4 linked regions of the Saccharomyces cerevisiae S288C genome follow. Each later gene encodes a partner of the first gene's protein in a complex. Each region holds a gene or a part of one and is shown on either strand. Other genes may lie near its edges.

Evidence for each region.
Region 2: CFT1 (region 1) and PTA1 share a complex: the UniProt entries of both Saccharomyces cerevisiae proteins name them as parts of the cleavage and polyadenylation factor (CPF) complex.
Region 3: CFT1 (region 1) and MPE1 share a complex: the UniProt entries of both Saccharomyces cerevisiae proteins name them as parts of the cleavage and polyadenylation factor (CPF) complex.
Region 4: CFT1 (region 1) and SSU72 share a complex: the UniProt entries of both Saccharomyces cerevisiae proteins name them as parts of the cleavage and polyadenylation factor (CPF) complex.

Annotation. Positions count from the first base shown.
Region 1 is NC_001136.10:1,060,170-1,070,141, reverse strand, and holds CFT1 (cleavage/polyadenylation factor CFT1), read right to left. Parts: upstream 6,791-9,972; coding exon 2,717-6,790; downstream 1-2,716. Other genes in the region: RSC3 (Rsc3p), read left to right, coding at 1-1,413; mannose-ethanolamine phosphotransferase GPI11, read right to left, coding at 1,752-2,411; PRO1 (glutamate 5-kinase), read left to right, coding at 7,351-8,637; rRNA-processing protein BFR2, read right to left, coding at 8,911-9,972. UniProt on the Saccharomyces cerevisiae protein: RNA-binding component of the cleavage and polyadenylation factor (CPF) complex, which plays a key role in polyadenylation-dependent pre-mRNA 3'-end formation and cooperates with cleavage factors including the CFIA complex and NAB4/CFIB.
Region 2 is NC_001133.9:58,195-66,435, forward strand, and holds PTA1 (RNA-processing protein PTA1), read right to left. Parts: upstream 2,859-8,241; coding exon 501-2,858; downstream 1-500. Other genes in the region: GCV3 (glycine decarboxylase subunit H), read right to left, coding at 1-268; retrograde cargo receptor ERV46, read left to right, coding at 3,122-4,369; Rho family guanine nucleotide exchange factor CDC24, read left to right, coding at 4,646-7,210; cyclin CLN3, read right to left, coding at 7,584-8,241. UniProt on the Saccharomyces cerevisiae protein: Essential in pre-tRNA processing. Component of the cleavage and polyadenylation factor (CPF) complex, which plays a key role in polyadenylation-dependent pre-mRNA 3'-end formation and cooperates with cleavage factors including the CFIA complex and NAB4/CFIB.
Region 3 is NC_001143.9:323,943-330,958, forward strand, and holds MPE1 (cleavage polyadenylation factor subunit MPE1), read right to left. Parts: upstream 5,502-7,016; coding exon 4,176-5,501; downstream 1-4,175. Other genes in the region: stress-responsive transcriptional activator MSN4, read left to right, coding at 1-1,178; BLI1 (Bli1p), read left to right, coding at 1,829-2,170; fructose-bisphosphate aldolase FBA1, read right to left, coding at 2,466-3,545; TOA2 (transcription initiation factor IIA subunit gamma), read left to right, coding at 6,224-6,592; NUP120 (Nup120p), read right to left, coding at 6,914-7,016. UniProt on the Saccharomyces cerevisiae protein: Component of the cleavage and polyadenylation factor (CPF) complex, which plays a key role in polyadenylation-dependent pre-mRNA 3'-end formation and cooperates with cleavage factors including the CFIA complex and NAB4/CFIB.
Region 4 is NC_001146.8:225,462-231,860, reverse strand, and holds SSU72 (RNA polymerase II subunit A C-terminal domain phosphatase), read right to left. Parts: upstream 2,768-6,399; coding exon 2,147-2,767; downstream 1-2,146. Other genes in the region: ribonuclease P/MRP protein subunit POP1, read left to right, coding at 1-793; cysteine protease ATG4, read right to left, coding at 3,007-4,491; SQS1 (Sqs1p), read left to right, coding at 4,762-6,399. UniProt on the Saccharomyces cerevisiae protein: Component of the cleavage and polyadenylation factor (CPF) complex, which plays a key role in polyadenylation-dependent pre-mRNA 3'-end formation and cooperates with cleavage factors including the CFIA complex and NAB4/CFIB.

The sequences.
Region 1 (9,972 bases):
AGTGTGACCAATGATCAGCTACTAAATCTAGGATTTATTACTCTCTGTCTCCTGATTCTTTTTGAATCGTTGAATTCTACGGTTTTGATTCCTCTTAGAGATGATGAACACTTGCAATTATTCAATGTGTTATTCAACTACTTGCCTTTGTTGAAGTCTAATTTAACAACGCTTAGATTTGAAATTGAAAAAAGGTCAATGTGTAATATAGAGACCCTGCGGTTTATTTCTTTGTGGAAATATTACCAATTTGTGATGGACACGTCGTCATCGTCCTCTTTCGTAATTGATTACGACGAAGATATGCATATGGCATGTTTACTATCGTTAAATCATGAAACTCAAAATCAATCTCATATTTTGACCTGGAATTTCATATTTAAGAACTACTGCTGGAGACACCTTTTCTTAGGTCAATTGCCGTTGCTAATGTCTGAACCTTTCACAAATTCTACCCCAATTATTGATCCTTTGTTGAACAACGATTTTGAATTGATTGATTTTGAAGTAAACTTGATGAAATATTTGCAAAGTAAAGATCAACAACTATCCATTGATAAAATTATACAGTTAATCAAGCTTTTGAAAAATAAGAATATCGAGGTCAGCCAAGGATGTTTAACGACTCCTTCAATAATTAATAATATCATGGATTCTCTAATCTACAGGAATTCAATGTTATATTTGAACTTTTACCTCTTATTGCAATTTGAAACATTGAAAAATTATGCTAAATTTAACGAAATTTTGGAAGACTTTTTGGAATTGTCGAGGGAGACCTTGTTCTTTGTTTTCTCGAACTTAGCCAATATTAAATTTGCTGGTCATGAATTCACATTCATCAATAAATCTATTGTGGTTCTGCAAACTTTAGTTTTAATGCTTTTGGCGCTCTATCAAAGGTCTTTTGATTCTTCAAAGAGGACGAATGATGCTAATGAAATCAGTGAGCAAACAGATATTCATAGTAATAACGACAATAGTAAGAGAATAAAGAATAAAAATGTTATTCATTTAATTATCAACAAAATTGCAATGTTGTTAAGTGATTATACCAAGAATTGTAAAAAGCAAAATAAACTCATCGAAAATCTGATTATTAAAATTAAGACAATCTCCAAGTATATCAAAAATCTTGAGGAGAATAAGGTAACGACTAGCGCCGATTCAAATTATTCCATTAATAACGGATTTTCTGGCATATCTGCAGAGCAGTTGATTAAATTAAATCACGAGTTGAGTAAAATTTCAGAATCTCTGATAAAAACGGATTTTTATGAACAGAGGAAAAATAGCACAGTTTCTAATGGAGTTTTAGGCGCAGCAGCTCCTGTTGATAGCGACGCAAATTCGGATACTTTCGGTTTAACAAAGGAGAATTTCAACGAAGTTTTTGAGGCTATTCGTAGCTAAAGCGACTCAAACAAATTAAAGAAGAAGTTGAGACTTTTATAGTATTTATTATTTAATCTGAGGATTTGTATTATTTTTTTATATAGAATGAATAAATCAGAAAAAGGAAATTATGAAAAGAAAAGAATGAGGAGAGTGGGAGATATTTAATGTTGTTAGCTATTTATCTGTATGGAAGTTATTACCTTCTTTTAAGATGGTACAAATAGCATATAGGTGGGTTTGGTATAAAGATCATTTAGTTTTTGTCATAGATTTTTCAATTGTGCATAGGACCAGTTTATGTTACCTCTATCATACTTATATTTTTTTATATACAAATTTTTAAATTACCGATATTATATATAGGCACCGATAGTATAGCCCACCAAAGCGCCCAAATAACCTCCAACAACAATAGGAATTGGCCAATTCTGCCAATCTCTATCCCAATCCAAAGGAATGACAACACAACTAATCCAACCCCCTACAACGATAAAGATAAAATACTTCTTCCATAATCCCACTTTGAAATCACAATTAAATACAGAATAAACTGCAGGGTATGCTAAAAATGCAAAATGCAGTGACAACAGCCAGGTTTCCCACAATAAGTCCATTAATGGCGCACCAAATAATATAGTTAATAACATTGTGGGAAAGCTCAACAAAAATGTAACACCTAGACAAATAATGGTCAATGAGTAATTGATCTTAATGATTTTGTTACCGTAAACTGTGCATTTATTGAATTGTAAAACTAAATAAGCAACTTGTGTAGGAATCAAAAAACTTAGCAACTTCACCGTATTGAAATTTGAAGATACAAAAACGTAGTAATAAAGTAGTGCTACTAAATGGTATGGAAATGTCATCAGAGGGGTTTTCCTCACATACACAGGTGGACGATCATGATCTACGTTCTTTTTCTCACGATTTTGGTGCGTTGTTAATGTTGTGTCATCGGAGAATGATACGGTTTTTTTCACTGTCTTTCTAGTCCTTTTTTTAGCTGGCATATTTAAATTGGACCTTCTTTAGTGCACTTGTTTATGTTCCTGCAAAGTCTTTGATTAAAGGCACCGTTTGCACTTTTGCTTTATTTCACTAACTGTTCTTTATTTGTTTTTTTTGCTGTGCAAAAAGTAACTTTTTCCTCATCCCCGCGTTACGTAAATAGTTCCGAAAATGTACGATGATACATGCGTTATTGTTACAAATCTAGTGTTTCAAGTAGTGGTTCTTATTCACTACTCGAATGCCTAGTGATAGATAGATGTATATATCGGGCTAGTTAGCATTAAATATCCTTTATATGTATTGTTCACTTACCCTGGCATAAAGATCTCATTGAAAATTCAATATTTATGATATCTCTCCATGCTTCAAAATGCGCATGTCTTCCTGCTTTCTGCGCAATGCTTTTCCGTCTATCAATAGCTAATCCACAGAACCTCCGTATAACGTTGAAATCAAGCATAGGCCTCATAGAGTGACCCATCTGATAAAAGTCGTTGGCCAATCTTTCCATGCGAGGGTTTAAACCACCTAGCTGTAATTCTCGATCGATGATTTGTTGTTGAATCACATAAAGTCTTCTGTATTTTTCCTCACTTAAAGGAACTATCTTGAAGACTGACCCATCCACTTGGCCACCAACGTTTTGAAACGATGGCACTTGAGGAGAGCCAAATTCCTCGTTTCTTGGTAAAAGCATCATACAACTATTGGTGGAATGCAACGTGAAACTGGAGCAGTGGACTAAACGTTGACCCGAAAGAGAGTTGGGTTCATCTGGCGCATATTTTAAAACATGAACATTTCTGTCAGCATCTGTTGCCGCAAAATACATATCCCCTCCGTTCACTAAAAACTCTAGCGACATTGTTTGAAATTTCGACATACTTCTGCCCAATGAAATCATCCTGTATGGTTCTGCGTCAAAACCAATAAATTGGAACCCCTGCATAGCGTCACCAATTATCAAAAGATTACCAAAGCTTTTAGAATCCGTAACGAAAACAGGAATATCCAAAAATGCCACTGGTATGACGGAATTATCTTCTTGGATATCTCTTACTAGAACTTTTTGGCTTTGACTAATCATGAATCTTCCACTAACCTCACAAACAGTAGATACAGTACCACTGACCTCTTCTTGAAAAATTTCCTTGAGCTTATAATTGGTATCAGGTTTACCAGGTTCGGGAACAACTTCTATCACATCATAAATATGGAAAGCGCCAGTTGGTGGAGTGTCTTCAGTGGTGGCATTGGCAACACCGGCTATAATGTATTCTCTTTTCCTCTTAGTTTTTGAATTAATTTGAATCATAGAGGATCTCATTTCATTGACGACAGAATTCTTTGGAAAGTCGATTTTATCAATGACCTTCCAACTTTTTGGATTAATGAGTAAAATTCCACTTTGAAATCCTTCCGCATGAGGAACATTCTCGTCATAACCAATTACTTTTTCGCCATCTTCTCCTAATGCTTCGTAAGGAACCCGCTTGCAATAAGATACAAGAAACAATTGAGCCCTTTCATGATAGACTAGTTTTTGCAGAGTTTTGTAGTCATCAAGCACATTGCTGATCTTTATCTGTTTCAATGGTAATTTGTTACCATAGTACATATTGTCAGTAGTTAGTGTGTAAACTCTGGCGTTTTTAATATCATCTACACACATGACTGAACGCTCGCTCCAGGGAGTGACTGAAACCAATGGTATGTTTCCGAATTTGAAAATCTTCGGTGTGGAATCATCTTCTTTTATTAATATGTATGGAACGCTACCGGTTACAAATATTACCGAATAACCGTTGTAATCGGGAAAGTAATGCATGATTCTTTCGATGGAACTAACACCCTTGGCGTATGCATTGTCAGGAGCACCAGTAATAGCTAGATCATTTCTTGTAACGTTTCTATAAAATCTACTACGTCTTTGTGGTAATTTTCTATATTGGTAAATCTCTCCTCCGAAGGTTAATATTGTCAGGTATTCTTCTTTATTGTCATGGCCCAGTTTGTTTATCATTACTTGTTTAATCGATGGATCAGGGACGATCTCATCGCCCAGTTGATAAGTGCTAATGTATAAAGATTCATTTAATTGGTCAACACCATTTAGTTGAAAGATTCTGTCATTATGGTCTTTAGTAAAAAAGATAATTTGGTTATCTGCAGTAACAAATGTAAACAATAACTGTTCTTCTTGAGACTTACTCAACCCAATCAAAAATTCATTACACATATTGCTTTTCAAAATCAAACCAGATGTAATAACCATTTCATTCAAAATTTCTGGCAAATCAACTTTTAACAATTTTCTTTTATTCTTTTCCTCCAATTCAAATATCTTAATATCACCCCTTGATACGGTAACTAGTATATACGGATCCATGACGGAAACATGAATAACTTCGTAGTCAAATTTAATTGTGGTGAGACGTCTAAAATGTGTATCATATAAATATAAGTGATTGGTGGTGACTTGTATTATTCTTTTTTCTTCACCAAACATTGAAATGTAAACTGTAGTAGCATCTCTTCTTAAACGGCCGCCCTTATGAAGTTTGAAGTTATTGTCACTTTCATATATGTCACTCCGGGATTTTGTGGAATCAGTAGTTATTAAGTACCTATCTCTTCCTTTGATCTTCAGATTCCAGATTTGTGTTATACTGATAAATTTCAATGCTAATTCAATTTCCGGTTGAACACTAGTCTGTATGACGGTCAAATGAGAACCTGAACCATTTCCCGATGTGGCAACTAGCGAATACTCGTTTTTGTTTGGATTTGGTAGTCCTTTTACCACATCATCAATGGAAGATACCTTACCTACAGTTAACGATGTGATGGGACCAACATTCCTTAGAGATGATAACAGTTCGATATCGAAAGGTTGAACAGTTTCCACAGTGCCTTTGGAATCATTAGTTGTTAGTCCATTTTCAGGAGCTTCATCGGCGTATAAATCGTCCATTTCCTCATCATCGTCGTCATTGATATCCATCAAACTATTTGTACCTGAAGATGGATTGTGTGCTTCTCTTGTTTCAATGGTAGATTTCAAATTATTCAATCTGAGAACCAAAGCATTTCCTGAACCAAACCCAATAAATAAGTCCATATTTTTGTTTGAATTGGTGGCATTCAAACGTGTTATACATTTTGGATTGGAGTTCTCCTTCAAAAGATCATTGACTATAGGTAGCTTGAAAATATCGAATTTAATCAGTAACCTGCCCTCTGCTTCCATTTGGATATAGTATATATTGGATTTCAAGTCCATAAGTAGTAGTGTTTCGTCATTATTACTTCCTCCGTTTTTGCTCTTGGACGAAGGTATCCAAATTGACGTAGTGTTTTTCTCCCTGAACATAATTTCCAATGAAGAATTGTTGATAATTTTTGTTTTCTGTAACTCTTTATCAGCAAATGAGTTTAATAATACTGTCGATTGTAAAACGCCAGTATTATCTAGAAATGCCAGTTCATTGGTTCCCACAATGATAGCACCATTCGAAACAGGTACAATGGTGTGTAGATCCCAAGGCAGTTCCTTGACAAATGCTATTGTGGTTGATTCAATCTTGGTGGCACTTTCTGCAGGCTGGATATTTAATGTGAGTATAACGTATTGTGTAGGGAGTTTTGAAATGGTGGTGTTTCCTGCCCAAACAAGCTTTGGTTGGTATAAGAGCGCTATCGTTGGTTTAGTAAAATTTTTCAAGAACTGAATATCTATGATATTTTTGGCGCCTTCGTACAACTCACTCGCTACCAATACCACGCTTGGAGCCGTGAACTTGTCACCTAACTTGGTTCTCTTCCTCTTATTGAAAGTATTCGTCCCTTGGGATTTTTGATTCATGCTATGGATTAATTCACTATCGTCTATGTTCTCGTCCTCATCTTCTTCCTCCTCATCGTCGTCATTTTTATTGACATGGAAGGGTAGAAAAGCGATAATGTCATTATTGAACAGTAAGGCACAAGAACTTCCAGGATCCATTCTCAAGGTGGAAATTTTGGCCAGCTCTACCAACGATTTACCCTTGAACTTTCCTTCGTAGTAATGCAGGCTTAGGGTATCGATTGAGTTTGTTAGCGTGTTGAACTTTAAAATAGAGATTTTAGCGACGCCTGTGCATAAAAGCAGGCAACTTAACGGACTGTCTTTTTGGGGAATGAGGCCTATATCGGTGATCAAGCCATGAAACTTAAACTCATCAGTCAAATACAGTTTACCATCCCTAGTAGGCCTGTAGACAGAAAGGATATTTGTTCGCACCACTAAGAGCTCCTCATAATCTGAAGTAGTAAAATGTGTTGCTAATGAATGAGACACAACAGTAGCGTCAAGCACATCATCATATACATTCATAGGGCCAGTAGCTAGAGTAAAAAGCGAATCTAGGTTAGTACCTGATAGTTTTAATCAGTGAAGTGTTCAAGGGACGGTGATCTTCCTCAATTTACATATGATTGCTTTAACGCTGCTCTGTGAAATATGTCACCTCGAACTTACCTTATATTAAGATCACTTACTACGTTGTCTTATTGGGAGCCGACGGGATGAGGAAGCACAAAATGTCACTAATAGGGCTGGTCAGTGGCACAGTGAATCATAATATATCGGTTGAGCACCAGTTAAAGTATGAACATGTTAAATTTAAGACTCTCACTTATCAATGGTTACATTTTGGTCTAAATTTATTTATTTATGACACTATCAGGTACCTTGGTAAAGGAATTGAAAATAAATAGCACCCACACATCGCATGATGGCAGGAAATGAAAAATTACATCAGCGAACTAATGCTTTCTCGATGAATTATTCATCCATCAAAACGGTCTTTCAAGATTAATGTCTAGTTGCTTCAAAGATAGGCATAGTTTAGGTCATTTTATCAGCTACTGTAATATAGTCATAAGAACGCGAAAATGAAGGATGCTAATGAGAGTAAATCGTATACTATAGTGATCAAATTAGGCTCTTCATCGCTAGTAGATGAAAAAACCAAAGAACCTAAGTTAGCTATCATGTCGCTTATTGTCGAAACTGTAGTCAAATTGAGAAGAATGGGACACAAAGTTATCATCGTGTCCAGTGGTGGTATTGCTGTTGGTTTGAGGACTATGCGTATGAATAAAAGACCAAAACATTTAGCAGAAGTTCAGGCCATCGCAGCTATTGGGCAGGGTAGATTGATCGGGAGATGGGATCTTCTGTTTTCGCAATTTGATCAACGTATCGCTCAAATTCTATTGACCAGAAATGATATTCTGGACTGGACCCAATATAAGAACGCTCAAAACACAATTAATGAATTGTTGAACATGGGCGTTATTCCCATTGTGAATGAAAACGACACACTATCTGTTAGAGAAATCAAATTTGGTGACAATGACACTTTATCAGCAATTACTTCTGCTTTAATCCATGCAGATTATCTTTTCTTACTGACAGATGTTGACTGTTTGTATACTGATAATCCAAGGACAAACCCAGATGCCATGCCGATCTTAGTTGTCCCAGATCTCTCAAAGGGTTTGCCCGGTGTGAATACTGCTGGTGGTTCAGGTTCTGACGTTGGGACCGGTGGTATGGAAACTAAATTGGTTGCTGCAGATTTGGCAACGAATGCCGGTGTTCATACGTTGATCATGAAAAGCGATACACCTGCGAATATAGGTAGAATTGTCGAGTATATGCAAACTCTAGAACTTGACGATGAAAATAAAGTTAAACAAGCATATAATGGCGATTTAACGGATTTGCAAAAAAGAGAATTTGAGAAATTAAAGGCTCTTAACGTTCCACTACATACGAAGTTCATTGCTAATGATAATAAACACCATCTAAAGAATAGAGAGTTTTGGATTTTACACGGTCTTGTCTCTAAAGGCGCTGTTGTTATAGACCAAGGTGCGTACGCAGCCTTAACAAGGAAAAATAAGGCGGGATTATTGCCAGCAGGTGTTATTGATGTTCAGGGCACTTTCCATGAGTTAGAATGTGTTGACATAAAAGTTGGTAAAAAGTTACCAGATGGCACGTTAGATCCAGATTTTCCCTTGCAAACAGTAGGCAAGGCAAGATGCAATTACACGAGTTCTGAATTAACTAAAATTAAAGGTTTGCACAGTGACCAAATCGAAGAGGAATTGGGCTATAATGACAGCGAATATGTCGCTCATAGAGAAAATTTGGCATTCCCACCTCGTTGAAACGAACTAAAAAGTTATAGAGGATTCCCTTAATGATATTTCTTATATAAAACACTACCTTTATATTTCCAGGTTAAATAATGACACATTAAGCATGTTTTGTTTTTTTGAAGAATTGTGCAGAGCAGCTGTTTCTTCCTAATCCACATTAGTGTTCTTAACTCAAAAAAAAGGTAGTTGTTAACAGCTACTTTTTGTGATCCGTTAAAATCCTTCTATCTACTTATAAGCCCTAAATTAAATGAGTTGTGCGTATTTAAAATAAATGTATATTCAACCAAAGATTTGGATATCATCGTTTTTAACAGCCTCTAATTCTTCGTCATTTTCTATTCTGGCATGTTGTTCCTCATCCTCATTTTCATTAAAGTTCACTCGTTGACCTAACAATCCCGCAAAGAATTCATCGATTTGGTCGTCTGACCATTTGTATCCGGATGTGATGGGGGCTTCATAATTCGCAATTGGATCTTGAACTGAGTAGTTCAATTTCCTACCCTTGGAAGCCTTAGTATCGATATTCTTCTTTAGCTTGTTGTTCGAACGAGCATTAGTTGAGGTGATTGTAATTGCTGCACTTTCAGAATTGTGAGCGTTGGAAATCTTTTTGTCAATTAAATCGTTTAGTAAAACACGGTAAAAATCTTCGTCATCAAAAACATATGGGTTTTCGGTAATGTCAATGGCATTGTTATCCTTTCTTCTTGGGTCATAGTTTTTCGGGATATCAAGCCCATCATCCGAATTCTCATTGTCATCAACACTATCTTTGACAACGGGAGAAATCAATTCTGGTAGCCTGCCATTAGCACAGTCTTTTTGGAAATACAAAGGCGTTATGTTTCTCCTGTTCAACTTTGTTCTTTTCATCAAACGGGACATATCGGATAATTGGTTTTCGACTTGTACATCTGCAGGTAAGTTGATAGCTTTGAATTTGTTAGATGATAAAGCAGCGTTACCTGATGCAGAAGAAACTTTGGTAGACCACTTGTTTAATACGGCAGTCCTGTACTCTTTTAGTTCTGAGTCTAAGCTATTAGTTTCTTGGTAAAGCTCTTTGAGAGATCTTTTTTTGGACAATTTATGCTTCGCCACCTCTTCATTTTGAGTGATATGATCGCCAAGTTGGAATTTTATTCTGAAATTTATCAACCGATTGAATAAATTATTGAACAGTTTTTCGTTTTCCTTCAGCAAACGCTTTGTTTCCTCTGAATCATCCATTTTAGCCTCTTCCCAGGACTCTGTAGTTAATGGGAGCTTATTTGCTGCAATTACAGCTTTTTGTAGTTTTATTCTCAAATCAATGATGTTGTCAAATAATTTTGTCTG
Region 2 (8,241 bases), on another chromosome or scaffold:
CAATCTCAGTGCCCACTTCTGGCAACTCAACATAGGTAGCGTCCCCTAAGGCATCAGTGGCGTATTTTGTAATTCCGACAAAGGCAGTCTTGTCCTGATGCACAGCTATCCACTCATGTTGGGAAGTGTACCTCACGGCTTGAGGTCCTTGGGATGAGTACAAAAATGGTAGTTTATTCTTGTTTAGGGCATTGCCGGAGCTGTTTCTCAAAAACAATTTGCTCACAGTGGGCATGCGGGTGGTCCATAGTCTAGTAGTGCGTAACATTGTCGATGTGGTATGCTTCATGTGGAGATTCCCTTTCCCATTAGATACTTGTTTGTTGGTCTGTATATATAGAAGAAAGAGTTAGCGAAAGTGACTCCGCCGCTGAATGACTCCTTACGGAAGTGTCAAAATTGCGAGGTCCCTATAGCACAGAATGATAGATAAAACATTGATTTGCAAGTTGAAGGAAGACCCTACACATGCGTATATATGATGTATGTAATGGTTGTGATCATTTTAGCCTGTCAAGCAGTGAATCGCACTGCTTGTGTAAGCCTTCATCTTCTTGCTTTAGCTGATGCAGCAGGTCGCGAACAGTGTCCTGCACTGGGGGTCTAAACATAATGAGAAACTTTAGCGTTTGGAAACCAAGGGAACTTCTTGCCGGATCCAGGCAGATAGGCTTCAGTGCCTCAAGATGATCGCTTTGAAGACTGGGCAGTTCGCTCATAAGTCTGATGAAGAATCGTCTGTGTTTGTTTTCAAGGAATGGACCCAGAGACTCGAGAACTCTTAAGGACCATTTTTTGTAGTTAGAGGGATCTTGATGCAGCGAGGTTTGGAAGAACCATTCTTCATTGAGCCATTCAATGATCAGACTGACACGTTGCTCGAAATCCTGGATGAAGAAGCCAAGCAGTTCTTCACGAATCAGGTCACTGGCCTCTTGTGCTTCGATTCCTCTCGTAACCAATCTGATTAAGACGTGTAACCATGACGAGGAGTCGTCATCGTCCAGTAATATGGAGGAGGAAGACGAAGATTTGGCCCGGGTAGTATCCTGGCGACCGGATAATTCAAACAGTTTCTTGGTCAGCTTTGAGAGGTACTTTAGTTTTTCATCCTGCGTCAATGAGTCAGGTTCAAAGGGGGGTGCGATCTCCTTAATGGCAGAAGTTGATTTGTTGGCATCTCCTGAGATTTCTTGGGCGCTTTCCTCTTCTTGAAGCATCTTCTGCATTCGGTCATCGTCTTCGGGCTCCTCTGGTTCCTCCGCTAGTGGTTCTGTTTCCATTTTGATTTTCTTGCTATTAGCCGTTGGGCCATCGTTTCCAACTTCTTCATTGTCGTTGCCGTCGTCATCATCGTCGGATTTCCTCTTTGATGATGACGAGGACGGTACAGAATTGATGTACGTATTCATTAAATCCGTGTACCTCGAAGCAACGATAGACAATCCGGTGATCAGTTTCGTGCTGTCCATTTGCAAGATGGCCTCTGTGGACAGCTTGATAAGTATGTCATTGGGTAGCTGGGTCACATCCTGGTTGGAGTTCGAACTGTTCATCAATGAGTACACAGATGAGTAGGTGTTGCTGATTGGTTTGGGTGAGTTGTTGAAAAAAGTATTGCCCTGGTGTGAAGCCTTGTTGAGGGTGTATTTTTGCAATATCTTCAGTTGATCAAGCATGTTTTCGGTTGAAGAGCCCGTTGCAGGTGCGGACACAGGCGTGGGGGTCTTTGTGGACACCCCTAGAGTAGACAATAACGCGGATAATTGCCTTTTCCATAGTGAGATGTATTTTAGTTTGTCCTGCCTGGACAACGTTTTCTTGCTATTGCCCTTGGAAGGGTCGAAGTTCAAAATTCCCTTGCTCTTGGTCTCTTCGCCAATAACGTGTAAAGTTTGAGAAATCTTGGTCAGCTTGGAGTAGATCGATGACCCTGATCCGGATGAGAGGGATTTTGTAATGATTTGATTTTTTAGCCCAAATTGCACAAAGTTCTTGTACGCCCTTTCAACAAATCTCTTGGATAGTTTGTAGTTCAAGTCAGACTTGCCCTCTAGGGGAAACTTGGCGTCGACGTTGAAACGCAACAGCCCGGAAAGAATTCTTATTGTTGTCTGCGGCCTTCTTTTGATGACGAAGGATAAAGAATTGATGATACCAATGAAAACGGACGAGACCATGTACTGTTCCTCAATTAGGTAGTTTAGCAACATATCAAGAAGCCTCTTAGCCTCGCTCTCCAAAGCCGGTTTGTTCAACACAGGGTGGTTATCCGGGATGGTAGATGAATTAATCTCGTTGCCGCTGGGTGATTTAGTTTGCGACAGCACGACCTCAGATATGAACTTGATGGTCGCTAATTTCACGCCGATATTTTGGTCAATCTGCGCCAGCCATTGTTCGACATCCGTTTCATCGTCAACGGTGGCACGCAAAGGATATGCAGTTCTCCAGTGCGAGAGCACGAACTTCTTCAGCATACACAACTGATCAAACATTTCCTGGTTTGATGTCTTAGCAACCAGATCCAACACCAGCGGGTATGAAGCGCACATAATAAGCACGATATTCTTGTACACTAGTACGTCCGCGGTGGATTGCGCCATAGCAAGAAGTAGTGGCAGATATTGAGCAGCAATAAACGGTCTCTCAGTATTCGCAATTGGAGAGTCCATCGACACCACGTCTAGAACTAACTGTGTAAAAAACTTGGCCAAAGGCAACTTCAGCTTGCTGAGATTACCGTTGTGGTACATGGATGCCGTAGTTTCGAGCACCTTGGGCAGCATCTCCGTTGGATTGTTGTGCATGGCCAGTGTCTTGGCCTGTAACAATTGTTCCATCTCTGCAGATGACATTGCGCTGCTTAGTGGTAGTTATATGCTTCTTGCCACGATTTAACCATTTGTTCAGTCAAGTACTAACGGTTAAAAGGTATCGAAATATGGCAACTTTTCACTTTTAGATCAAGTCACTATATACGACTTGAACATCAGAACGGCGATTTTCCATCAAGATGGAGTGGAAACCACGCCATTATAAAGGAAAGCTAGTTTTATGTCTCGTATACATGCGGAGTAGGACAGTGATATAACACACATAGCTAGACACAATAGACATCATGAAAAGGTCCACGTTGCTGTCGCTGGACGCATTCGCTAAGACCGAAGAGGACGTACGAGTCCGCACCAGGGCCGGCGGGCTGATCACTTTATCGTGCATCTTGACCACGTTATTTCTGCTGGTGAACGAGTGGGGACAGTTCAATTCTGTGGTAACAAGGCCACAATTGGTGGTGGACCGTGACCGACACGCAAAGCTGGAGCTTAATATGGATGTGACATTTCCATCGATGCCATGTGACCTGGTGAATCTCGATATTATGGACGACTCTGGAGAGATGCAACTAGACATTCTTGACGCAGGGTTCACGATGTCTAGGTTGAATAGCGAGGGTCGCCCCGTGGGAGATGCTACTGAGTTGCATGTGGGTGGGAACGGCGACGGAACCGCGCCGGTTAATAACGATCCTAACTATTGTGGGCCATGTTACGGTGCCAAAGATCAGTCGCAGAATGAGAATCTAGCACAGGAAGAGAAGGTTTGCTGCCAAGACTGTGATGCAGTGAGATCAGCATACTTGGAGGCAGGCTGGGCTTTTTTCGACGGGAAGAATATCGAGCAGTGTGAAAGAGAGGGCTATGTCAGCAAGATTAACGAGCACTTGAATGAAGGCTGCAGGATCAAAGGTTCTGCACAAATTAACAGAATTCAGGGGAATCTTCACTTTGCCCCTGGAAAACCCTACCAGAATGCATATGGACATTTTCATGATACTTCTTTGTACGACAAGACTTCGAATTTGAACTTCAACCACATCATCAATCATTTGAGCTTTGGGAAGCCGATCCAGTCCCACAGTAAGTTGTTAGGAAACGATAAGCGCCACGGCGGCGCCGTAGTTGCCACTTCTCCCTTGGACGGACGCCAGGTGTTCCCGGACAGGAACACACACTTTCACCAGTTCTCGTATTTTGCCAAGATTGTCCCCACCAGATATGAGTACTTGGATAATGTTGTCATTGAGACCGCGCAGTTCAGCGCCACTTTTCATTCCCGACCTCTTGCCGGTGGAAGGGACAAGGATCATCCAAACACACTTCACGTTAGGGGTGGTATCCCTGGTATGTTCGTCTTTTTCGAAATGTCTCCATTGAAAGTCATCAATAAGGAACAGCACGGGCAGACTTGGTCGGGCTTCATCTTGAATTGTATCACCAGCATTGGTGGTGTCCTAGCTGTGGGCACTGTCATGGACAAGCTATTCTACAAAGCACAGAGATCGATCTGGGGCAAGAAGAGCCAGTAGAGGAAGAGACTGTCATAGGGAAGAGCCCTTTCTACATACTACTACATAATATATATATATAGTATAGAAATTGGTATATCACTACTTGTACAAATATCATATTGTACGATAATCGCGAAGAACGACGCACTGGTGGGAAGAAGTGGAAAACAGAAGCTTTAAGGTAGAAACAGAACAAGAATGTGGCTATGGTAGGATAGCAGAAGAGTACCATTGCTGTTATCATTTGTTGCCTAGCCCTATCAAGACCTGTCTGCTAATCCAACCCGAGAGATCATGGCGATCCAAACCCGTTTTGCCTCGGGCACATCTTTATCCGATTTGAAACCAAAACCAAGTGCAACTTCCATCTCCATACCCATGCAAAATGTCATGAACAAGCCTGTCACGGAACAGGACTCACTGTTCCATATATGCGCAAACATCCGGAAAAGACTGGAGGTGTTACCTCAACTCAAACCTTTTTTACAATTGGCCTACCAATCGAGCGAGGTTTTGAGTGAAAGGCAATCTCTTTTGCTATCCCAAAAGCAGCATCAGGAACTGCTCAAGTCCAATGGCGCTAACCGGGACAGTAGCGACTTGGCACCAACTTTAAGGTCTAGCTCTATCTCCACAGCTACCAGTCTCATGTCGATGGAAGGTATATCATACACGAATTCGAATCCCTCGGCCACCCCAAATATGGAGGACACTTTACTGACTTTTAGTATGGGTATTTTGCCCATTACCATGGATTGCGACCCTGTGACACAACTATCACAGCTGTTTCAACAAGGTGCGCCCCTCTGTATACTTTTCAACTCTGTGAAGCCGCAATTTAAATTACCGGTAATAGCATCTGACGATTTGAAAGTCTGTAAAAAATCCATTTATGACTTTATATTGGGCTGCAAGAAACACTTTGCATTTAACGATGAGGAGCTTTTCACTATATCCGACGTTTTTGCCAACTCTACTTCCCAGCTGGTCAAAGTGCTAGAAGTAGTAGAAACGCTAATGAATTCCAGCCCTACTATTTTCCCCTCTAAGAGTAAGACACAGCAAATCATGAACGCAGAAAACCAACACCGACATCAGCCTCAGCAGTCTTCGAAGAAGCATAACGAGTATGTTAAAATTATCAAGGAATTCGTTGCAACGGAAAGAAAATATGTTCACGATTTGGAAATTTTGGATAAATATAGACAGCAGTTATTAGACAGCAATCTAATAACGTCTGAAGAGTTGTACATGTTGTTCCCTAATTTGGGTGATGCTATAGATTTTCAAAGAAGATTTCTAATATCCTTGGAAATAAATGCTTTAGTAGAACCTTCCAAGCAAAGAATCGGGGCTCTTTTCATGCATTCCAAACATTTTTTTAAGTTGTATGAGCCTTGGTCTATTGGCCAAAATGCAGCCATCGAATTTCTCTCTTCAACTTTGCACAAGATGAGGGTTGATGAATCGCAGCGGTTCATAATTAACAATAAACTGGAATTGCAATCCTTCCTTTATAAACCCGTGCAAAGGCTTTGTAGATATCCCCTGTTGGTCAAAGAATTGCTTGCTGAATCGAGTGACGATAATAATACGAAAGAACTTGAAGCTGCTTTAGATATTTCTAAAAATATTGCGAGAAGTATCAACGAAAATCAAAGAAGAACAGAAAATCATCAAGTGGTGAAGAAACTTTATGGTAGAGTGGTCAACTGGAAGGGTTATAGAATTTCCAAGTTCGGTGAGTTATTATATTTCGATAAAGTGTTCATTTCAACAACAAATAGCTCCTCGGAACCTGAAAGAGAATTTGAGGTTTATCTTTTTGAAAAAATCATCATCCTTTTTTCAGAGGTAGTGACTAAGAAATCTGCATCATCACTAATCCTTAAGAAGAAATCCTCAACCTCAGCATCAATCTCCGCCTCGAACATAACGGACAACAATGGCAGCCCTCACCACAGTTACCATAAGAGGCATAGCAATAGTAGTAGCAGTAATAATATCCATTTATCTTCGTCTTCAGCAGCGGCGATAATACATTCCAGTACCAATAGTAGTGACAACAATTCCAACAATTCATCATCATCCTCATTATTCAAGCTGTCCGCTAACGAACCTAAGCTGGATCTAAGAGGTCGAATTATGATAATGAATCTGAATCAAATCATACCGCAAAACAACCGGTCATTAAATATAACATGGGAATCCATAAAAGAGCAAGGTAATTTCCTTTTGAAATTCAAAAATGAGGAAACAAGAGATAATTGGTCATCGTGTTTACAACAGTTGATTCATGATCTGAAAAATGAGCAGTTTAAGGCAAGACATCACTCTTCAACATCGACGACTTCATCGACAGCCAAATCATCTTCAATGATGTCACCCACCACAACTATGAATACACCGAATCATCACAACAGCCGCCAGACACACGATAGTATGGCTTCTTTCTCAAGTTCTCATATGAAAAGGGTTTCGGATGTCCTGCCTAAACGGAGGACCACTTCATCAAGTTTCGAAAGTGAAATTAAATCCATTTCAGAAAATTTCAAGAACTCTATTCCAGAATCTTCCATACTCTTCAGGATATCATATAATAACAACTCTAATAATACCTCTAGTAGCGAGATCTTCACACTTTTGGTAGAAAAAGTTTGGAATTTTGACGACTTGATAATGGCGATCAATTCTAAAATTTCGAATACACATAATAACAACATTTCACCAATCACCAAGATCAAATATCAGGACGAAGATGGGGATTTTGTTGTGTTAGGTAGCGATGAAGATTGGAATGTTGCTAAAGAAATGTTGGCGGAAAACAATGAGAAATTCTTGAACATTCGTCTGTATTGATAAATAAAACTAGTATACAGCAAATACTAAATAATTCAAGAAAAAAACATTAGATAGAGAGGGGCAGATGTTCAAGCTATACCCATTATATTGATCCACACTTAGTATTAAGATACGTCTGTGAAGGATGAAAAAAAATGTATAATGTGACTAGAGGAAGTAAGGAGAAAAAACGATAGTAATCGTATTTTAGGTTGTGCGTTTTTATAATTTTTTTTTTTTTGTAATTCTATGCAAATGTAATATAAGTATATTTAAAGAAATAATGAGTCCTGTGAAAACAAAAAGAAAAAAAGATCATTAATGTATGTTAACGTATTTGCTTTGCAAATTTTAATTTATTTGTTGTTAAATGCATTTTTTTTTTGTCGTTTCAGCGAGTTTTCTTGAGGTTGCTACTATCATTAAAATCACAATCCACAGAGGAAGTTGATCTCTTTTTCAGTTGGGTGGGGGCAGAGCATGGGTGAGCAGTGGCCATGGGTCTAACAGGAAATAATCTTTTTGAACGCACAGATAAATTTTGTAATAATTTTCTATTTGACATTAGAGATGGGGTGGTGGGAGTTAGTGGGCTTGGCCAAAAGATGCTTGAATTTTGTGGGATGCTCAGTGACCTTTTAAAAGAATTTTGGGTAGAAGAGAACGAACCTGAATGTGAATGGTGTGATGCAGAGTCTGGGGTCGTCATTGAACTTGAAGTCTTGTAAGGGGAATTGAATGGAGATGGAGAGGATGAAGATGAGGTTGGAGTGAAGGCAAATGGTGGAGAAATGCTATCTTTGGTCAACCTTCTTAAATGAGTGTGATCCGAGAAATAGTCTGTGGCCGCAGATGAAACCGTAGCGCTCTTTGGAGTAGTAGCATTTGAGTAAACACAAGTCAATGAATCGCTGTCAAAGGACTGAGCAAAGATAGTATTGTACATGGTTTCCAATTCTTGTGAACGGTAGAATTCTTCCAGTTTCAATTGAATACAATAGTTTTGTAATGCGTCTAAGAGAGATTTTGCTAAAGATGTCTTATTGCTA
Region 3 (7,016 bases), on another chromosome or scaffold:
TAGAGGATTTTGTATCTTCAGAAGAAGCATTGAAGTTCATGCCGGACGCTGGTCGCGACGCAAGAAGATACAGCGAGGTGGTTACCTCTTCCTTTCCTTCTATGACGGATTCTAGAAATTCGATCTCTCATTCGATAGAGTTTTGGAATCTCAATCACAAAAATAGTAGCAACAGTAAACCCACTCAACAAATTATCCCTGAAGGTACTGCCACTACTGAGAGGCGTGGATCAACCATTTCACCTACTACCACTATAAACAACTCTAATCCAAACTTCAAATTATTAGATCATGACGTTTCTCAAGCTCTGAGCGGTTATAGTATGGATTTTTCTAAGGACTCTGGTATAACAAAGCCAAAAAGCATTTCCTCTTCTTTAAATCGCATCTCCCATAGCAGTAGCACCACAAGGCAACAGCGTGCCTCTTTGCCCTTAATTCATGATATTGAATCTTTTGCAAATGATTCGGTGATGGCAAATCCTCTGTCTGATTCCGCATCATTTCTTTCAGAAGAAAATGAAGACGATGCTTTTGGTGCGCTAAATTACAATAGCTTAGATGCAACCACAATGTCGGCATTCGACAATAACGTAGACCCCTTCAACATTCTCAAGTCATCTCCGGCTCAGGATCAACAGTTTATCAAACCCTCTATGATGTTGTCGGATAATGCCTCTGCTGCCGCTAAATTGGCGACTTCTGGTGTTGATAATATCACACCTACACCAGCTTTCCAAAGAAGAAGCTATGATATCTCGATGAACTCTTCGTTCAAAATACTTCCTACTAGTCAAGCTCACCATGCAGCTCAACATCATCAACAACAACCTACTAAACAGGCAACGGTAAGCCCAAACACAAGAAGAAGAAAGTCGTCAAGTGTTACTTTAAGTCCAACTATTTCTCATAACAACAACAATGGTAAGGTTCCTGTCCAACCTCGGAAAAGGAAATCTATTACTACCATTGACCCCAACAACTACGATAAAAATAAACCTTTCAAGTGTAAAGACTGTGAGAAGGCATTCAGACGCAGTGAGCACTTGAAAAGGCATATAAGATCCGTTCATTCAACGGAACGCCCTTTTGCTTGTATGTTCTGTGAGAAAAAATTCAGTAGAAGTGACAATTTATCACAACATCTAAAAACTCACAAAAAGCACGGTGATTTTTGAAAAAAATAAGGTCAAAAGCAAATAAAAGCAAGACAAGCTACGGTATGACAAGTTTTCGGAGAAATAATATTCTTTCTTCCTCAGTTTACAAAACAAGTAGGTTGGTCATTTCATTCGGATATATTCTAAGGAATGAAATGAACATTGGTGTTTGTTTCTAATATAATCTTAAGATATTTTAAATTGTTTCTTTCCTTTTTTGCCTTTCTAACTATTACTTCAACTTCTTTTCCGTATATTTCCGTTTTTTCCATTTGGCAGATTAAAAAAATTGTGCACGTTCTGGTTTTAACGTATAGACTTCTAATATATTTCTCCATACTTGGTATTTTTTATTCACTTTTTTTATACATATTTGGTTTTTTTATACAATATCAAAAATCAATAATAATTAATTTAATAACAAGAATATGTTGCTGTGATGACTCTTAATATACAATTGGGAAGCATTCAAGGATTGGTACGACGTTTGCTTTCTGATAATTAAACGCTTGGCGTTTAATCTTTTTTGCCGATTAATAATATTATTATTACCCTCTTATTTATTAGCATTGTCTTCCGTACTAAAAGGAGTAGGGAAAAAGGCGAAGTAGAGTGACACGTCCATTACCCAGCGCTTCATAAGAATCCATCAGGTATATTAAATTGTGATGGGAGAACAAAACAAATTGTACTATGATGTCGAGAAATTGGTGAATTCTTTGCAGGAAAGTTTTGACCTGGATTGCGCGCAAAGTGTATCACTTTTCACCAGTAAATCAAGGAGCAATGAGGCTTGGTTGGAAGAGCTAGAGAATAAATTCAAGTTAAAAGATGATGTTGAACTTGATGATGTGGAAAATTTAAGAGCCGAAATTGACATGAAGTTAAATATGTTGGAGGATAAAGTAAGCTACTATGAAAGACTTTACAAAGAACTCGAAGAGTTCCAGAATGAAATAAAAATTAAAACAGTTGTGAATAACAGAAGACAATCGCGAACTCCAAAATGAGCTATCAAAAACGATAGATCGATTAGGATGACTTTGAAATGACTCCGCAGTGGACTGGCCGTTAATTTCAAGCGTGAGTAAAATAGTGCATGACAAAAGATGAGCTAGGCTTTTGTAAAAATATCTTACGTTGTAAAATTTTAGAAATCATTATTTCCTTCATATCATTTTGTCATTGACCTTCAGAAGAAAAGAGCCGACCAATAATATAAATAAATAAATAAAAATAATATTCCATTATTTCTAAACAGATTCAATACTCATTAAAAAACTATATCAATTAATTTGAATTAACTTATAAAGTGTTAGTGGTACGGAAAGTTTCCAAAGACTTGGTGATCTTAGCACCCATGGTCTTTTCACCTTCTCTAACCCAGACTCTTGGGTCGAAGAACTTCTTGTTTGGCTTTTCTGGACCTTCTGGGTTACCGACTGGGGACATTATGTAGTCCTTCTTGTTCAAGACGTAGTCTCTGATACCAGTCAAGTAAGCGTATTGACAGTCAGTGTCCAAGTTGACCTTGACAACACCGTTGTCAATACCAGTGTGGAATTCTTGGACAGTAGAACCGGAACCACCGTGGAAGACCAAGAACAATGGCTTTTCTTCCTTGCAACCAACTTGTTCTCTGGTGTACTTTTGGTGTTCAGCCAAGATTTCTGGTCTCAAAGCGATGTCACCAGCGTACAAACCGTGACAGTTACCGAAAGCAGCAGCAATGGAGAAGTTTGGAGAGATTGGGTGCAAAGCCTTGTAGACGTTGTAAACTTGTTCTGGCTTGGTGTACAAGTCTTCCTTGTCAGCGTTTTCGTTGTTAACACCATCTTCTTCACCACCGGTAATACCGATTTCCATTTCTAACCATTGGTCCATAGCGGCCATTCTCTTGAAGTACTTGACACAAGTAGAGATGTTTTCTTCATCGGTTTCTTCAGACAAATCCAACATGTGGGAGGAGAATAATGGTTCACCGTGTTCCTTGAAGTAAGCTTCATCAGCTTCCAACATACCATCGAACCATGGCAACAACTTCTTGGCACAGTGGTCAGAGTGTAAGACAACTGGGATACCGTAAGCTGGAGCAATGGATCTGATGTAGTGGGCAGCGGCAATAGCACCCTTGATGGAAGCATTTTGACCTTCGTTAGAGATACCCTTACCAGCGAAGTAAGCAGCACCACCGTTAGAGGTTTGCAAAATGATTGGGGACTTGCTGTCTCTAGCAGCTTCTAAAGCAGCGACGGCAGTAGAAGAAGAGGTGACGTTAATAGCTGGAATAGCGAACTTGTGTTCCTTAGCGTAAGTGAATAAGTTGTGGACATCTTCACCAACGATGACACCGGTCTTTCTCTTTAAGATTTGTTCAACACCCATTTTGAATATGTATTACTTGGTTATGGTTATATATGACAAAAGAAAAAGAAGAACAGAAGAATAACGCAAGGAAGAACAATAACTGAAATTGATAGAGAAGTATTATGTCTTTGTCTTTTTATAATAAATCAAGTGCAGAAATCCGTTAGACAACATGAGGGATAAAATTTAACGTGGGCGAAGAAGAAGGAAAAAAGTTTTTGTGAGGGCGTAATTGAAGCGATCTGTTGATTGTAGATTTTTTTTTTTTGAGGAGTCAAAGTCAGAAGAGAACAGACAAATGGTATTAACCATCCAATACTTTTTTGGAGCAACGCTAAGCTCATGCTTTTCCATTGGTTACGTGCTCAGTTGTTAGATATGGAAAGAGAGGATGCTCACGGCAGCGTGACTCCAATTGAGCCCGAAAGAGAGGATGCCACGTTTTCCCGACGGCTGCTAGAATGGAAAAAGGAAAAATAGAAGAATCCCATTCCTATCATTATTTACGTAATGACCCACACATTTTTGAGATTTTCAACTATTACGTATTACGATAATCCTGCTGTCATTATCATTATTATCTATATCGACGTATGCAACGTATGTGAAGCCAAGTAGGCAATTATTTAGTACTGTCAGTATTGTTATTCATTTCTTAGGGCTTGCGTCAGCTTGATGAGGATTTGTGATAGTAGCCGTTGGAGGCATGAAGGGCATTGGAAACATGGGGAAAGGAGGTATACCGAAAGGTAACGGTACTGGTGGCACTGGCGTACCGCCGTTATTTACAGAAGTTGGAAGGCTGGTATTGTTGTTCAAGCCAGCGGTGCCAGTTGGATCCATCAACTTCATTTTCTTAGTTTCTGGCTGGTTGCCATCTTTAGAGCTTCCGTGTAGTTCCTCTTGTTTCTTCAAAAACGTTTCGACCTCCTTTTCCTTGTCCTGGTCGGGTACTAAAGAATCGAGAAGGATATCGCGGGTTTCGCAATTGGGGCATACAAAGTCGCTCTCTACCAGTGCATTTTCCAGCGCCTCTTTTGAGAAATCTATGTTACAGCACTTGCTTGTCTTTACCGGCTGCCTCAAAAGACCACCTGTCAAGGGACATTTTAAATCGTCAGGAAGATCTTTGAAATGGCCTTTTCTCCAAATGGTTTCATCACCATCAATTTGACGGTTCTCTCTTTTCCTTTGGTAGTCTTCCCATGATTGTTTGTCTTCAACTTGTACCACGAACTTGCCTTCGTCCGTAATCATAATCTTTCGCTGAGCCATCTCTTCCGGTGTCATTGTCTCGGGATCTATTTCAATGGATTTTAAAAACTTCTTTGGAATACCTGTGGTTCTTCTGATTCTTTTTCCTTCAAAATTTGGATCGCTGTTAGTTGGACAATTTTTAATCCAGTGGTCTCTACCCCCACAACGATAGCACATATAACCTGGTGGCGGTGGGCCTTCGTTTTCTTGTGCAGAATTCTTATTCGTCTGTGACTTGAAAAAAACAGGTGTGGCTGCAGACATTTCTTCTTGCGTTTGTTCCCATTGATTTTCTTGTGTGGCAAACATACTAGCAATTCTTTCTTCTTCCGTTGTACCACTAACATTAGCAGTGGTTGTAGCAGTGTGTTGTCTCTTTTGCAACACTCTTGGCCTACCAGTAACATACCTTGTTGCGTTCCCAAGAGCTGCTGCTCCCACATTCCCTTTAAGTCGACTGTGTACGGAGAATGATTTAATTGCTGGAGATCTTTTTACTATGACACTAGTAGATCTAGGTATAACAAAGGCATCATCGTCGTATTCCTCTTCTGTATCTGGGTTGTAAATTTTTAATTGGAAATCTGTGCCGTCACCTAGTTTGTTCTCTTGAATAATTTCCCTTTTCAAATCAAATACTGTCAGGCCGGTACCATCAAATAAAATTCTTGATGTGTTTCGTTGAGACTTAAAGCGGTAAAATATCGTGCTACTCATGTTACACTATTCCAGTCTCTGCCGATATGATGAGAGCTACCGAAATTTCAGTACCCTCTTGATTGTTCTTGCTTATTTTATGTTGGCCATAAACTTGGTTATTAACAATATGCTTGATATTCATCATCATTGTATTAACTTTCAGTAAAGTTACCCGCCTGAATTACAATGTTGTGACATAATATAATGGCATAAGGAAGGTTATTGCACCAGCAATGGATTAAGGTAGTTATATTTACCGCTTATACACTACATGATAATGAATATATCAAGTCGATCATCCTTTTTTATGTTTTAAAATACTTTACATACATAACTGTGTTTTTACTTTATCTAAAAAAAGAGTTGTTATGAATTTGTGATTATTTATATTTCCAAATATTTATGATCTCAAAACGTAAAAAAACATAAAAAAAAAGTGTTAACCAAAGAAATTGAAGAAAGATAGATAAATAAGTTCCAAAAGTTCTATGAATTTTCAGGTTGCATGGCAGATAATGTCTTCTGCTAGGCAAATGTCAAACATGAACTGAATTGTCAATACAACATAATGTTAGCTTCATTATTGTTGTATTGCCGGGTAAGCTAATTTTACTAATAACAATATTTTCTTAACGCCTTAGAATACTTTGTGAAATATTCGACCGAATAAGGAATAAGTAGAAGATGCACTTAGAGGTTAGGAGGGGGACACAGGCTATCGAAGATAACAGTAAGGATAAATGGCAGTACCCGGGTATTACGAATTATATCGTAGAAGTACTATAGGGAATAGTTTGGTGGATGCTCTTGATACTTTAATTAGTGATGGGAGAATAGAAGCGTCGTTAGCTATGCGTGTTTTAGAGACATTTGACAAAGTGGTGGCTGAGACTTTAAAAGACAATACCCAATCTAAATTGACTGTGAAAGGAAACCTGGACACATATGGATTTTGCGATGATGTTTGGACTTTTATCGTAAAAAATTGTCAGGTTACTGTTGAGGACAGCCACCGCGACGCCTCCCAGAACGGGTCTGGAGATAGCCAAAGTGTAATTTCGGTGGATAAGTTGAGGATTGTGGCATGTAACTCAAAAAAGAGCGAGTAATATCTATGCTATATGCCCGGATGCTTTGTTGACCAATAGTTACATTGAAATTTCTCTATTATCTCCTCTCTTCTACCGCTTTTAATACAAGCTCTAGGAACAGTGTCATGAAATAATGTTTTGTATTCTTTTATATTAGGGAACTTGTGATTCTTCTGTTTTTGTTTTTTATTTTTCCTGTCTGTACATTCATGTAATAATAATTTAGATTTAAAGTTCAATCTTTTTACTTAAAAAACAAACGAAGATCATGGTGCTAATATTCGGATTTGAGTTGATCAATTTTTTAAATGAAGTATTAATTTACAGTTTATATATTCACTATAGACCTCGTAACTCATCTCTTAAATCAGTTAAAGTAACCACTTTACTTCCGTTTAGAATCCATTGATCGTATGCACTATCAAAGCTAGATAAAACGTTG
Region 4 (6,399 bases), on another chromosome or scaffold:
CTCATTTTATAAAAAGGAGGCCTCCAAGACGAAGTGGGATAGGAAGCCAATGGGAAAAAGGATTAATTTCGAGAAGATCAAAGACATCCATAACACTAAATTACCGGCATATAGCGGAGAAATCGGCGATTTTTTCAGTTCAGACTGGAGATTTTTACAAATACTGAGAAATGGAATTGATTATTTACAGCGGAATGATAAAACCTTAGAACTGATGGACAGTAAGAAGACCGGGCAATTTAACGCTCAGGGTGTAAGAGACATCAACTGTGTAAATGATGTTTTGGAGTTTTGCAAAGATTATGAAGCCAAGACCAAGGCTATGTCGTTGTCGATTGAAGAGAACATACCAGTTGCATTGTGTAAAAATCGGAAATGTCAATTTCGCACTCCTGATAGCATTAGCGTCAATAGTTCTTCATTCTCCCTTACATTCTTCCCACGTTGTATCATTGCTGTATCTTGCACACTACTCGAACGAGGTCACCCAAAGGACAATGCAAGAATATATCAAGTTCCAGAAAAGGACTTAGAGCATTGGCTACAATTGGCAAAAGGGGTTTACCGCCCAAACGGAAGAAAAGATCATGATTTGAAAATTCCACTTCCAGAGGTACATGATTTGATTGGTTTTATTACCAGCGGCACCTACCACTTAAATTGTGGAAATGGTATGGGAATCGGATTTATAGATCATCATGCGGCCATCCGGCAACCAACTAGGTATGTACTGATCAGAAATGTAGGTACCAACACTTATAGGTTGGGGGAGTGGTCGAAAATATCCGTATAATGAACTGAACTGAATTATATGTACGACCGATATCCTATAAAGCTATGTATACAGAGGGCAAATAGCAATCATATCGCGCAATAATGGTCTTTTTGCTTCCTGGAACTCTATACGTACACATTTAGAGATTGAAAGTGGCAACAAATCTTATTATATGTTAATTTAAATACGGTGATCTACGCTGCCATCATAGGGCTCATTGATTCATTCCCTAGCTCTTGAAAATGTCAATGAAATTATTACCCGTCTTTGCACCTTTTTTTTTTCTAAGGCGACGAGTTTTCCATTGGCAAGACGTATAAATAGAGAGAAGAAGTTCCATTTAATAGAACTATTTTACAAACATACTTTTAGCGTTAAAATATAGTTTTTTCTTGAATTTTTTTAAAATCCTCATACTTACCTTAAGATATCAGAGGAGATCAAGAAGTCCTACTGATCAAACATGCGCTTCCAATAGTAGAAGGACGTTAAGCATTTATCATTGAACTATAATTGTTCATTGAAGTCATTGATGCAAACTCCTTGGTCACACACACATACGGCGCGGAAGGCGTGTTTGCTGACGTTTCCATTCCCTTGTTTCAATCATTGGTTAATCCCTTGATTCCTTTGGGGATTTTTGGGTTAAACTGATTTTTGGGGCCCTTTGTTTCTTCTGCCTGGAGAAGTTTGACACCAAATTCAAATTGGTGTTAGGGGAGCTGGGGCCTTTCAAAAGAGAGCTTTGTAGAGGCATTCTTTTTGACTACTTTTCTCTAGCGTGCCATTTTAGTTTTTGACGGCAGATTCGAATGAACTTAAGTTTATGATGAAGGTATGGCTGTTGAGATTATTTGGTCGGGATTGTAGTTTGAAGATGTGCTCTTTTGAGCAGTCTCAACTTTGCTCGTTCCCGTTATGGGAAAAATTTTGGAAGGTCTTGGTAGGAACGGGTGGATCTTATAATTTTTGATTTATTTTCAGAAATAAATGGAACATTTTTCTATTTATTTCTTTCTTAAAGTACTGAAACTTTTAAAGTTTCATGCTTCTATTTTCTTCATTTCAGTCCTATATCTGGTGATGTGTTTTGGAATGAAACCTGTTATACGCTACATTGAGACAAGACATTGTCCAGCTTACTAAAAATACAGTGTGTTGTATATCAAGCTTCTTGATAAAAAAATAGCTATGTGGACAACAAGCAAATAATGTGCTTAAGAGAGCCGCAACAAGAAACGTAATATTATATAATGAATATAACTAGGAAGCTATCGAAGACTTGTGAAAGTATTGAAATTTCACGGATAATGTAGGATTCATGAGGGCCGCTTAATGCTTATGCTTTTCTACAGTAATTGACCGTTTTGTTTAGTAATATGAAGGAGCGTATAATGACGGTAGTTGAGAATGTGAGCTTTGCCACTCAGTTAAAATGTCCATTATACAATCTTCAAAGGGAATGTCATCTTTTTCACATTGTTCTATTTTATCATTGAGCATATCAGCTAATTCCAATATAGCTTTGCTACCAATTTTAGCATTTTCATCATCATCTTTAATGTCAACATTAATTACATGCACTATTTTGTTTAATTTCCCACCTCTATTCATCAAATCTTCACAAACGGCATCAAAACATCTCTCTTCACAAGTGAAAACGAAGTCGAAGACTTTTGTACTTTCTTGCCATTTTTCAGGTGCTTTTTTGAGTCTTCTATTACGATCCAGCATTTGCAATAAACCGTTCGACTTGTAACGGTCTGCTGATTGTGATAAAAGATCATTATATATATCATTATAGGGTGTACCAAATGAGTACACATTAGGCTTATCTATCGATAGACCAGGCAGTCTCACAGCTGAACCTGTTCCGTAAGAGCTAACATTATAGCCTGCTTCTTGCAGGACTTTATGCGATTCCATTGAACGATTGTTGTTTGATGCACAAACTGTGCAAAACTTCAAGTTTGAATTGCGATGACTAGGCATTTTGGACTTCGACACTAGTTTATACCACCGTTGTCTTAATCTTCTTACAGGTGGTCTTTAATTCGTGCCGACTGGCCTTTTTCTTTATTATCTTTCGTTTTTTAAGTTCTTTCCACTGCCGCAGACGAAAAATACGTAAAGGATGATCAAACGAATAAGAACAAAAGAACTGGATACCTCAGTTTTAGGGAATATATTAAAACAAGTATATATGCTTATGAACTAGTGAATTCCTTACACTAGCATTTTTCATCAATAGGACTGTGAATACCTACCGTTTCCTTCTCTACAAGGACGCCTTCTACTTCATAATCTGTTAAATTCGCATTAACAGTGTGTGTGTTTCCCATAACAACAATCTTCTGTTTCTTGCAATGAATATCTTGAAAACAATCATATTCGTCTACATCTTCTGTATTTGTTGTGTGTGGGAATATTGCACCAATATCTACGTAGTCTCCCTCTAGTACTCCGAGATTTTCATTATTGCTTGCATCTTTCTTCATTGAGTTAGAACTTACACTTTCCACGTCATCCATACTACAACTCACATCAAAGTCATCCATTCTCTTAGCAAGAACATTGATAATAGCAGATTCTGCAACTTCTAGCTTCCATTGTTGCCAGTCTTTTTCGCCCTTAATCAAAATACCAATGAGCATCGAGGGATCCATTTCCGATAGTTGCAATTTACCAAATTTACTGGTATGGCACGACTCTACAAATGAATCTTCTACTGCCGGTTGAGGAATATGAGGATCGAAATGTAAAAATTCATTTCCTTGATAACCAAAAAAATACAACGATGAAGACGGCCTACCGCCGGCAATGCCTACTGACTGTGTTGAACTTAAGATACCACATATACTTTCTCTATAGCTCTCATTTACCGCATTAATCCCGAGCTTCACGCCCAACAAGAACAATATTCTACTATTTGGATTCTCAGCAAATACTTTTTCAACTTCATTTTCATAGATATCGCCGGATGAAACAGATACTATACAATCATCGATGCCACATTCGGGGAAGCCATATATTAAAGATTGTATACTCCTTGCCGTAGCTGCGGGACCAAACCATTCACCTGGTCTTTTATCAGAGAGTTCTGTACCTGCAGAAACAAAGTTATGTAACGAAAATGGAGCCTCAGGCGTGTCATTAAACCAATTTACAAATTTTGATTCTCTTTCCAGACTTTCGTTACCATTTACCCTGAAATCTCTGCCCAAATGAAGGATTTGTAAGGCATTCCCCAACAAACTTTGTCCTGTCCTTATCATACACCCCCACCCAATATCAGTGTTAAAGCAATCAGGATTTGCTATATAGTCCTCTATTGTACTGATCGGATTTGTACGTACTAATAAATTTAGACTTAAAGGTGAAGGCCCATCTGGCGCCCTTGCTATAGGAACAAATCTTGTCCGATATGTAAAGTTGACCCTTGATTGTACATCCAAAAGAAATTCCTTTGTGTAAGAAGAAATTTCCCTACCAAAAAGAGAGCTTAAAAACCCGTCACTAACCGCTTCACCGCGATATCGACAGTCTTGTTCACATTGTTCAGCGCCAGATTCTTCGTCTCGCTCAGGATATACTTCCCCTAATACTATATAATCATGATTCATAAGAGCAGCCGGTTCTTCGGACGAGCCTTCAAAAACGCCATGAGACACTTTTTGTACCAAATCCATTTTCCACAGTTGTAGCCACCTCTGCATGTATATCACTCCTATACGTGATAAGAAGTCGTCCATTCTTCATCTACTAACGTTATTGTGTGTATATTTTTACTTTTTTCCTTTGAGGCGCTATTGTTGGCAGCTGCAACGGTCACCGCCTAAAGAATAAAAGTGAAATTTGACATTTTACAATTAAATAAGATCTGAACAAAACAACAACAATTAGGCCTGCGCAGAGTTTCTAGAAGGAAGAAGTGATTTAATCGCAGAGTCAAATATAAGCATAAATTGTTGTAACCGTCAAAAAAAATGGCAAAAAGGCATAGTCATTATCAAGGAAGCAGACGTAGGCATGCACGTGGTAGCAATTCCAAGAAAGCTGGCAGGGGGAATGCTAAAGGCATACAAGGCAGAAAGATAAAGAAAAAACCTACTCCCACTAACAGTTGGCATAACTCTTCTATACCACTAGGAGAAGGTGATCTTGATGATGTAGGCGCCGACTTCAACCCAGGAAGAGCATTCATATCACCAAAAACTATAGAAGACTATTATTTTGGTCGCGATGCCAAGAGCCGTTCTATGAAAATGGGTGGTTTAAGACCAGGTAATCGATATGATTCTTCAACTGACCTACAAGCAGGAAGGGCAGCATTCCGCAAAAGACCTATGCAATTTGTAAAAGCTAAGGAAGTTTACGATCCATCCCACAATATGATTCAAAAACTGAGAGCAAAGAACGAAACAAAGAACAGTGAAGAAATTGTCGAAAGGGAAGCAGACGTTTTTGAAGAACCAGGAAAGATGACTTCTGATGTTGAATATATTAACAATGAAGACAGTGAAAACGAGGATGATGATAGTCAGAATTCACCCTCGACGGACCACTCGCTGTCTTCGAATGAAAGCAAAGTTGAAGATGGTGACCTGTTTTTTGTAGATGAAGAGGCTCAGCAATCGCCGGATCTAACCAAAATAAAAAGAGTATGTATCGAGGAAATCGCAAGGCCAAGAGAAGTTGCGATAGAGTTCGATCCTATCTTAACAATTGGAAAGGTTGAACTTAGCGTTTCCGAAGGTAACGAAAGCAAGGAAATTAGTGTTGACGTTCCAAATAAGGGTAATAAGACATATCATCCATTTGCTGGTTACATTTCCAACGTATTACATGGTATGCATACTAGCGACTCGGACAATGATGAACTAGACTACGAAATAGAAACAGAGAATAATAGTGAACCTTTATACGAATCCTCAGCAAGTTCTGAGGTTGATCAAGGGTTTAATTATGTTGGCCAACGTCACAATTCCCGAGCTGACAACAATCTTTTACCAAGCCCTAGTCCGCAGTTGACAGAAGATATAAAATGTCTTTCAATAAATGGTACCAAAACATTCGAAGGCAATAATGATAATCTGCCATCTCCTGCTAGCGAAGAGTTAGAATTTGGATTCAAAGAAGAAGATTTTGTCATAAATACTAATGACATAGTGGTCTCCAATATAAGAATGGGCGGAGTAGACAATTCATATTATCTACGGTGTTACAGATTACTGGGAGATTACGACTTTCATTGGATTGACCAGGACTTACTCACAGACTTCGTTGTAGACGAGTTAGGTCTTCCTGAAGATAGATTACCTGCATATTTGAATTTTATTAAAAATTCTCTTATACCAAAAATTGAACCAGCTGAGCCAACCTACTCAGATATTCCGATTTCTGATTCGAGTGATGAAGGTGACAGCTATGAAGGCGACAGCTATGAAGATGATGAAGATATGGCCTCCTCGGTTGTGCATAGCGACATTGAAGAGGGTCTGGACGACCTAATTGCATACACATTGAAACATGATACAGAAAGATTCAAAACATTTGAAACCAAGTCCTTGGAAACTAAGGGTAAAGGTAAGAAGAAGAAGCTACTCATCGATGACGCCTTAGCG